Saccharomyces cerevisiae S288C: one gene and its partners. Changing the gene in region 1 together with any one later gene gives a genetic interaction. Each region holds a gene or a part of one and is shown on either strand. Other genes may lie near its edges. The genes, in order: ECM3, SEG2 and YOR387C.

Region 1 (3,760 bases):
AAAAATGGTAAACTAACGACCATCAAAGGATATTGAAGCATCAAAAAGAAAGAGGTACATTCCATTTGAACGGGTTCAGTTTCGTCCTCAGGGGTATAACTTGCAGTGAAGTAGATTAAGGTGGTCATTGTTGGTAAGTTCCAAGTAATGGCGGTAACAAACAATAACATCTTGTCGTTTTCCCAATTTAGCCATCCCGCTTTCACTAGACGGTCACACCACAAGACACCAAAGATCGGCATGATACATTGTCTGAGAAAGACTAATACCACTGCGGATTTCCAGAAACCAGGGTATAATTTTCCAATTTTCAATCTACCAAGAGTAGCGCCTAAAAGAATCAAACCGAAGGGAACTGAAGCGGCTCCAACATAAGATGTAAAATCCATAATGAAAGTTAGAGCAGGTGCATTATCTGGGGCTTGTTTGATTTTTGGTGTATTACTGGTCGTAACGAAAAGGGCTTTTACCCAGGGAATAAAAGCGATAATCAAAGCCAGGATAACAGCCATGGAACAAGGCCTTAGACAATTTTTTAGAAAAAAGACGAAAAATTTTGTTAAGGGAAATTTCTGTAGCCATTTTGGTAAAGAGGAACCGGAAGTCTCAATATCTTTCTTACTAACAGTGGCATCTGAGGTGATTATTCTTGTTAGGTTGGAAGTTTTGACTCTTTGTAAAGTGGAGGTTCTAGTCAAATTTGGAGAAATAGTACCGTCTGCCTGCAAAACAGAGGGTGCTCCTTGGGAGCTGATAGAACTTTTCCTTCTTCTACCGTATTGATCAACATTGGAGTATTCACGAATTAAATCCGACATGCCTTCCGCGGGTAGTTCACGCATATCGATGGAACGTAAGGAGCCAGTGATGGAATTCCTGCGGTTATTATGAACATGTGATGTTCTTGACTCGGTAGTGTATGCTATTGGTTGACTTCTAGTTCTGTAAGTAGGATCGTTAAGCTCGCTTACAGATTGGGCATCCACATGGTTTGTGCGTAGTGAGTGTGTAATGCTATCGATAGAGACCACCGCGGATGAGTTCGAGCTCCTGTCATCTATTGCTGGAGGGGCAGTATGTGTAGGCTTGGGGACAGAGAGTTCAGTTTTTTCTTTTTTATTTTTCTCAGAAATGTAGCTTGCTTGTGAACTGTTAGGAACGGTAGACTCGTTGGGCTCTTTCAGGATATCTTGGTTGGATGAAGAAGAAGAATTGCCTTCAATTGGTTGTGTTGGCTGTTGGGCAGAATCATCATTGGTCAACGTATTTTCTTCATCGTCATCACCTTTGTAATGGAAATCGTTTTCAATTAGTCTGAAACCACCTAAATTGAAAACACATATCAAAAACATGGCCAGAAAGATGATAACGTTGGCAACACCTTTCTCACCTTCTGCTTCTGTAAATATAAACCCTTGGTCCATGGATTGCAAATAGGCGATGGGTAGATCGCTGATATTGGGAAACATACCTCCTGCAAGTATACCACCACGCCATCTCTTAGGAACAGGCAGCACACTGCGAACAATAAAGGCAAACCCCAAGCCAGTTGCGAACAGTATAACAGACGTCAGACAAATAATGCCGACATCTTTGATATCGTTATCTTCTATATTTGCTACGATTTTATTGAATGATAAACAAGGAAGCAGAATTGTTAAAACGATATCAGAGATGGACCTTGTGGCCTGAACGGTTAAGATGTTCATCTTGCATAAACCGAAGCCTACACCAATAATCAGATAGATTTTGATGATTGGTCTGACAGAGGCCCAGATGGCTTGTCCCAGTGTGATGTGTGTCATTGTCTACTTGTCTTGAACTTACTCTTTGTCTTCTATTGTTTTGTTTGTGTTGGTTCTATAATGCTAAACTTAACTATCTATGCCTTTTTATCTTCCTCTCGGTAATGGTCAACAATACGCAGTTTCTGTACAAATGTAAAGTCTGAAAAACCTAATATAAAGAAAAATTGCGAGGCTTCTGAGAAGAAATTCCGGATGCCCTATGATGAAAGTCTATATTAAAAACAATGAAAGGCCTATTATATAACAAAAATTACAAGCATATAATAACGGTGCAAGAGTAACAGATGGTAGCGTACGAAGGAGGGATGCGTCAAACATATATTCAGGCCCTCTAAGTATATAGCCTCATCCCCCGAGGCTGCAAAGAGATGCAGTGAAAGGAAGCTCAACTATCACCGATTGTGAAATAGAGAGCAAAACTCGAGCACTTTTAATCCCAGATATTGTCGGGCGGATCCGAGGTGAAAAAACACCTCAACAACGTGGGGGCGTGGGGCGTGGGATATCGAAAGGGGCAAAAAGACGGCAGATAAGCATGGGCCGCGGTCGTGCTGCGTGATCAGCTACATGACGTGACATGCTTTGTGTTGGTGTGTGTGCGTGTATTATATATACGGTGGCATATATACAGTTTAGTCTATATGAATTTTAGACTATGCGAGCGTGGCGGAGTTGGCTTTTTTGATGTCGAAGGTGGGGTTGCTACCGTCACCGTAGTCCTTGATGCCGCCGTCGTCTTGGTGGTCAGCCTTCTTCAAGGCATCTGTGAATTCAGTAAGATCCCATGCGGATCCCTGGGTGACGTCGTCTGGCATGTCGGCGTTGTCCGTCTCAAATGACTTGTTTTCGGCGCTCATCTTAAGAATGATTTCTCTACCAGTAGGTTTCCTCTTACTAGATAACTTCTTTTCAGCGTTAATCTTTGCGATGACGTGGTCCTTCTTCCATTGGGCGAAGTTGGCAATTGTTATTGGTGTTAGCTTGGATTTGTCTAGTTTCCCTCTTTCTGTTTCGATAAACTCCTCCAGCGTAATTTTTGGCTGTTTCTCGAGCGACTCCCTCTCGAGCCTCTTTTGCTCGTTGGTTTTCAGCACAAAGCCCTCTGGTAGGGAGTGTCTGTACATACATTTGTCACCTCCGTTAGGACAAATCCAAAACCAACCGTATTTACCGTTTTCCACGGCCTCGATGAAGTATTTGCATACTTTGTCGGTGGTGGTCTTTGGGTTACCGTGCTTCGACAGGATAACTTTTCTCAGCTTTTCTTCATCCCAGTTGTCCATTGTGTCATTTTCCTTTTCACTTCTTGTATCTTGGTATAAATCTTTCTTTTCCATTCTTCTACCGACGTTCAAGTCATGTGAGAACTTACATTTGGCACCTTTGTTACAATTCCCCAGTTTGAACAGAGCACAAACCATGGACTTGGGATCTACACCCGCACGAACCCTTTGGTCTGCTACAGGGTTGAATAGTGCTCTTCGTTCAGCTTCTTCGGCTTCTCTGCGCTTTTTTTCTTCGAGTTTCTTTAACCTCATCTCTTCTTTCTTGGGGTCGGATTGTGATTGCACTTGTTTGATGTATTTTTGGACTTTGGTAGAACGGTTCTTGTTCTTCATACCGAACGTCTTGTCGACATTATCCTTCTTCTTACCAGCCGCTTGGGCCTGTTTTCCCTTTTTTGGTGGCATCTTCGAAATATAACTTTCCTGCGATTTTATATGTGTAAAGCCCAGAGGTTTACTAATAGAGTGGCTTCCCTTGCTTTCTAGAAATAGTAAAACACATTGATTAAAAAAAGATATATTGTCGATTTTCACTAACTCATCGCTGGGGAACAAAAATTTTTTCATTATCATCACAGTTCATCATGTTCGACGAGCTACGTGCCAATTCATTTCCTCCACTAGTCTCCAACTTAAGAAATACTCTCAGAGGTTGCAATCTTGTGC
Region 2 (3,760 bases), on another chromosome or scaffold:
TTTTCAGAACTTTCCGGTTCATTATCGGAAAGCGCCTCTTCTTGATCTTCTTTTTGGACTAAAAAGCAATTTGTATCGACGAGGCCTGACTTTTTTCCCTTTGTACGTTCTTCCTGTTTTTCACTATCATCATCTTGCGGAATTTTTAGTCCAACCTGATTTCCGCCTATTTCAGACTCCACACTTGTCTTTGCAGTAGCGCGAAGATCAGTTGCCGAGCCTTCTATATAATTATAATCGGATAATTCGCTGCCAGTGAGACTGTTTGAATCTGCAATGCACCTCACTTCGTTATCTGAATTCATGTGGAAGTTAGAATTGTTTAAAGAGCCGAGAAGAATAGGATCTACTAAATTTCCTTCGGCATCAACAGAATCGATATTCTCTGCATTTTCAATATTCTGAGTTTGATTGGAGAGAGTTGATGGCTCTTTCTCCACGTCTTCCGGAGGTACATAGGCAGGCTTAGGTTCTGATAAAGTAGGTTGACGAATCGTGATCGATTTGACCTCGGATGCTACTTCCTGTCCTTTGTGAAAGTGTTGTTTTCTTTTGCTTTCAATTAGTTTTAATTCTTGGGCTTCAAGGTCGGCATTCTCCTTAACTATATTTAGCTCTCTTTTCAATAACTCCATTCTCCGTTCTTCATCTAGCTTAACTTTTCGCAATTCCAAAATTAAGCTTTGTTCCCTTTCTTCTTCGTTCAATTTTGCTATTTCGATATTTGATATTTTTTCCTCCAAGCTATGAACCTCTTTAAGCAATGTTTCAATTTCTTCCTTTTTCTCACGTCCACTGAGACCACTTTTATCTTTTTTGGGTATGCTACGATCGAGAACGCTGGGTTCAATAAAAGAGTTTTCGTCATCGGATATAATCATGGGTTTAAATTCTAAAGGATCATGAAGATCCTCTTGCAGTTCTTGTTCCGTTTCCTCGTTCATAGTTGTTGGTATTAATGGAACATTGTTATGCCGTTGCTTTAATGATGTAGTATGCATTTTAGATAATACTTTGCCATGATAATCGTTTTTTGATTTACCGCCGCTTTCACTTTTTTTCTCTTGTGATCCTGCTTTCTTAGTAGTTTTATTCCTATGCATTAGACTAGTTTTGTTGTTTCGAGTAGGCAAAGAATATGCTCTACCACCTCGTTGGTTTGAGCGGTTGCTCAGACTGTATCTAGGAGGCTCTACTTCCACGGGTACTTCCACAGCCATTAACCCCCTAGGGCCTGGTATGTATTTTTTTATCGTCCTTATTGTGCTGCCTGAGTTCCCAAGTGATGTGGTCCTTGATTTACTATTCTGACCAGTCGAACTTGAAATGTTTAAAACCTTCGATGACTGCTTGCCTCCAAATTCTCGAAACGTGGTTTCTGCATCCTCGTGAGCCCTGTGTTGCCTTCTCCCCGCCGAATTATTAGAGGTATTCTTATGTCCTTGGTTTGGCAAACTCGACGTGCGCTTAGAGTATTGGCGAACGTTACCATTCATTAAGAGCATCCTTGAGTTAGTCCTAGAATTCGAGAGCATTGTATACCTATTAATCCCTGCGATTGACGTAGTTCGAGAGGTAAAACTCTGATTGTATTGCGGTATTTTACTCTTGTCAACGGTCCTCCCATTATAACTGAGCGCATTTCCAATTGCTGCTGCTGCTGCTAAGGCATCTGGACTACTTTCTTGGATCATCCCGCTATTTCCAATGCTCCCACTATTTGTTGATACTTGCCTCTTTCAGAGCTATCTGCCTTATGTTGATTATTAGGGTTAATAAATGCTATTTCCTCCCGCAATAATTGTGTAATTTGAACGAAGAATATGAAGAAGATGGAATGGCGATTTTCACTCTAAATTTTAAAAATTGCCTCTTTACAATAGCGAATTTCCTAACCCTTTTTTTTTTTTGTTGATTGCCTATTGCTCGTTCACTTCCCATTTATTTTCTCTCGAATTTCACCAAAAGTTGATGTGGATAATCAATCATCGGGCCTATTCCTGCGGGTAAAACGCAGGGCCCAACTCAGGATAGGGTTTAATATTATTTTAGAGGACTTACAAGAAGGAAGTTATATGGTTTAAAAATTGTAACAAAGTTAGAACACATTTATTTAGCAGGTCTAATTTAGGGCTGCAACTATCTTTTTGGTTATTCATATAAAATATAATTTTTTATTTATATAGAGAATACAAGTGGAATCATCTTTAACGCCAGCTTGTAGTGCGCATTGCAGAATAATGGAAGTTCAAAAATTAAAAGCGAAGGAGAAGTGATAGTAGAAAGACGGATGGGAGGCTGGGGGACGAAGAGAAAGTAAAAGGGTTAATTTATTCGACGGTAACAGATTTAGCCAAGTTTCTTGGAAAATCAACATCAATCCCTTTATTAACAGCCAACCAATATGACATTAGTTGTAATGGAATAATATTAATTAGACCTTGTAAACAATCAACAGTTTGTGGAACTTCTAAGGTTTGCAGGTCGATTGATTTAGATTTTTGCGCCCACACTTCATCATTTTCGTTACAAATAATAATTGGATGGCCCTTTCTTGCAGTAACTTGCTCAATAGAGGAAACTACTTTAGGGAATAGAGAGTCTCTGGTACCAAAAGCAATGATTGGCAAGTTTTCGTCCACCAAGGCCAAGACACCGTGCTTCAACTCACCTGCCAAAACACCTTCAGAATGCATATAAGAAATTTCTTTGATCTTCAAAGCACCTTCCAGAGCAGCAGCAAATTGGTAACCTCTACCCAATAACAATAGAGATTTTTGATCCTTTAATTCAGTCGCACAGAGCTTTTTTATTCTTGGTTCCAGCTTTAATACCTGCTTAATTTGGCCCGGGATTAACTTCAAGCCTTGAATGATTTCAATTCTTCTGTCTATTTTCGATACACGGTCATCTGACAGCGATAGAGCAAACATCACTAAGGCAATATACTGGGAAGTATAAGCTTTTGTAGAGGCAACACCAATTTCAGGACCAGCGTTAATATGAACACCACAGTGGGTGACACGAGAGATAGAAGAACCAACACTGTTAACAATTCCGACAGTTAAGGCTCCTCTTTCTAAACAATAATTTAGAGCCAGCATGGTATCCGCAGTTTCACCACTTTGTGAAACAAACACGCATACATCGTCTCTGAAGACAGGGCATTTTCTGTCCAGAAAGTCAGACGCTAATTCCACACTAACTGGGATATCTGATAATTCTTCGAAGATAGCACGAGTAGCCAAACATGAATGATAAGAAGTACCGCATGCGATCATGATCAGTCTCCGTGCTCTTCTGACAACTGGTAACCATGCCTTTAAACCACCCAATATCACTTTATTATTTTCATAGTCGATTCTACCTCTCATAGTATTGAAAGTAGATTCTGGTTGCTCATAGATTTCCTTTTGCATAAAATGGTCGTAAGGGCCCTTCATGATCTGAGCTAACTCCATCTCTAAAGTTTGAATGGACCTTGTCATTGATGCGCCTACTTCTCTTCTAGATCTATGAATATGTAACTCACCATCGTAAATATGAGCCAAATCGTCATCTTCTAAAAATAGCACCTTCTTGGTATGTTTAACAACAGATGCCGCATCCGAAGAAACAAAAAATTCCACCGGTGTTGGAGATCCATCTTCTGATAGGAAAGCCCTGGATTGAGAATGTCTCAAGTTAAATTCATTGGCGGCAATTGGTAGTAAATTGGCATTTTGGGAACCAGCTTCAAATTCACGAGCTTTCTTTGGGC
Region 3 (3,188 bases), 580 kb from region 1:
ACACAATAACTAGATTATGCGAGGCACGGCAAAAGGAGTGAAGAGGGCAAAATACGGAGAAGACAATATAGAATAAATTTCTTTTTTTGATTAGAGAAGATTGTTTGCCAGTGACTGTGAACTAATTAAAAGGGAAAAGAGAATGCCTTGGTTAGATTGCTTGGAGCAATAGTCTTACCATGATGATCAGTCGGATTCTGACGACGTTGGGTATTTTAAAACACGCGTAATTGAAAGGGTGATGTTGAGAATGGACCACTTCAAGATATGCTCGAAAATGTAGCTATATTTCACGGATGAATAACTCGTAAGAATGTGCAGTAGCTGATGGACCTAGGAACGATCAAGTCAACGTTGTATTTTGGTTCGGCAAACAATTGATATGATGTTGACAAGAAAACCATCTGCGCTCTAATCTCTAAGTACACGTGCATTTGGACCTATCATCAAAAGAGAATAAGAGGATACTTTCAAGAGAAGTTCAAAAAAGAATCATTATTATGATCCAATGACAGTGACAATAAGATCAACATAAAAAAGAAAAGTCAGAAGTATAAATCTGGGTCTTTTTCTCTAAAATAATTATAGTCTGTTAATTTATAAAACTGCCTAAAAAATATACTTAAAATATGTCTACAGATTATGCAGCTGGAAAAAATCAAGCAAAACCAGCGTCTGGTGGACAAACGGCCTTCAACTGGATGGCGGTACAATAATCTGGTAATGTCTCATTCGCAGCGAAAATGTTCACAGTTGGGGTGCTCAAAATAACAGAAGCAAAGTTTGGGTAACAGGAAGCAACTTGAACGCCATACTGAGTAGAGTTAAACAATTGGTTAGCTAAACCGGTTATGAAGGAAGCATTATCAGCGGTGTCTGCCCAAGAGTTGTATTCAATTTCACCAGTAACAGTGTTAGCAAAAGGAACCATAGCATCACCAATGGATTGAGGGTTACAAGTGTAGATATTGGTGGTGAAGATTAGTGGAGAAAAGTTCTTCGTATCATTGCTAGCAATAGTAGTCAACTTTGGGAGGAATCTTGTTTCCTGGCCCAAATATCTTGCCCAAGCGTCACCAGCGCTTTCAGTTAAAACGTCGGCACCAGCAAACGTAGATTGACCCAAAAATGTACCATTTTGGCCAACGACTTCCATAACGTAGGTACCACAGTGAGGTCCATGTAGGTTATTACAAGTGACGTTAGTCAAATCAAATCTGACGGCTGTTGCAACAGACACAAGGACGCTGAAAAAAGTAAAAATGTTTAGGAAACTCATGGTATGGTTGTTGTTCTTGATTTCTTGAGATTGTACAATCTATCAGAAGCAGTAGCTCTCCATTTTGAATGAAAATTACGATGCTTATATATCAATTATACCTGTTATATGCTGAAAACCTTAATGATTATATTAACCTTTTTCTAGCAACTGAAAATACAGATCTGGAATATGTTTCTATATTTCCAACCTCAGCGGTTATTCGAAAAAAAAATAATTGACCCGCAGGGTGTATAGGTAGTTGATGAAAGTATCATTGTTTTTAATTTATTGTTAAAAGTCCGAAAAGCGAGAATGCATGAAAGTATTACCTTCCATTCCAGGAATAGAAGCAACACTAATTCAAAAGCCCGTTTAGGAAAGATCCGAATATTTTGACAGTAGTACGTAATGAATAACCACTCAGGTGATACTAAGACAAATTTTACAACATTTTAATGTGTTCCTGATTTGATTATGCAACACTTTTTTTGACCCAGTCCAAAAAAACTGCCGTAATATACTTCATTGGTTGTCGTACAAGTAAGCTTTAACATGGTTCTCGAAGTCAAAGCGCAAACATGCGACCAATGGGTCAAAATAATGGTAAGACGCTGCAAAATTCTCTTCACTTAATTGAAAAAAAGTTTCATAATTCATGTCGGACAGATTTATTTCTGGACAATTTGGTTCTGTTGAATTCAGAAATGCTCAGGGTTCATCATGCCATAGTGCCACTTCAATGGAAGACAATACCTTTGAGAAAAAAAGGTACCTTGCATGAGGTATGATGCACGGGTGCACTGTTAAAAAAAAAAAAATTTCAGATGTATTTAAAGACTTTCTAGGCTGGGCGGCTAACAAAAAAGTGATGGAGAGTGAATCAACAGGTGCCAATATGCAGCAAGTGGAACTTTCTGGGGATTTTATTACTGTGATGTTCGACAAATAGTTCAAATAATTATAAGCTAGTGGCTGCATTGGATTATGAAACAGGGAATCAGATATAGGCTTCCCTGGCTTTCCTTCGAAACGTTTGAAGTAGTAAGCGATAACCTATCCCTGAACACTTAACATTATATGGCTCTTTTCTGCAGCAGATACTTTTGGAGTCTTAAAAGCACAATGTTTGAGCCGGCCAGGCGCCCATAATTAGAAATAAAAACTGTTTATAGTGTAGATGATCAGTTGTGATTATGCTACTGTTACAATTAATGAAGTTGATTGCGATCTCTCCTTTTACTGTATCTTTAGTTCTGTTATTAACGACGAGCCAAATTCCAGAAAAACAGTAAGGGAGAAAGACTTTTCCTCTTTATTTGAACCGCTACCGTGAAGATCGTTTACTGCCAAATTTTGACAGCAGATTTTGTATATAGCTACCATATCAGCAGTTTCAATTATTTGATATTAATAAACCGCTCTTCTATTTTTTAAGAGATAACGAAAATTTTGCTTTACAAAATATTTAGCTAAGGTATAAATGTGCTATGGACGAATAGTGGAGAATACGCCAAAACAAGAACAAAAGGAGACCGGAAAACTTCTGCTCACAAATACTCATAATCACTCTTATTTCTTCTGTCCATAAGCTCTGGTGGCATAAGAACCATTCTGCACAATAATATCCTGTGGACGGTAATCAAACTTTTTGGAAAAGTAACTATTTAGGATGTTCTTTACTCCCTGAGCGTACCTCTTTTGAGCATCCAGAGATGTGCCACTGATATGAACAGTCATTGCGTTTCCCACGTGGTCCTTATTGTCCATAGTCCTCCAGGGATGGTCTTTTGGTGCTGGTTGCTTATCCCAGACATCACCACCATAGCCAGCCAATTTACCAGACTTGACTGCCTCGGCAACATCTTCTGCGACACAAATAGCACCTCTAGCGGTATTCACCAAGTATGCACCATCTTTCATGTGGGAA

Evidence for each region.
Region 2: mutations in ECM3 (region 1) and SEG2 together harm fitness more than expected from each alone (negative genetic interaction), as found in Saccharomyces cerevisiae (one large-scale study listed by BioGRID).
Region 3: mutations in ECM3 (region 1) and YOR387C together harm fitness more than expected from each alone (negative genetic interaction), as found in Saccharomyces cerevisiae (one large-scale study listed by BioGRID).

What each region holds. Positions count from the first base shown.
Region 1 is NC_001147.6:493,172-496,931, reverse strand, and holds the start of ECM3 (putative ATPase ECM3), read right to left. Parts: upstream 1,806-3,760; coding exon 1-1,805. Other genes in the region: translation machinery-associated protein TMA46, read right to left, coding at 2,462-3,499. UniProt on the Saccharomyces cerevisiae protein: May be involved in cell wall organization and biogenesis.
Region 2 is NC_001143.9:240,890-244,649, forward strand, and holds the start of SEG2 (Seg2p), read right to left. Parts: upstream 1,695-3,760; coding exon 1-1,694. Other genes in the region: glutamine--fructose-6-phosphate transaminase (isomerizing) GFA1, read right to left, coding at 2,331-3,760. UniProt on the Saccharomyces cerevisiae protein: Likely plays only a minor role in eisosome assembly.
Region 3 is NC_001147.6:1,068,963-1,072,150, forward strand, and holds YOR387C (uncharacterized protein), read right to left. Parts: upstream 1,280-3,188; coding exon 659-1,279; downstream 1-658. Other genes in the region: FDH1 (formate dehydrogenase (NAD+)), read right to left, coding at 2,831-3,188.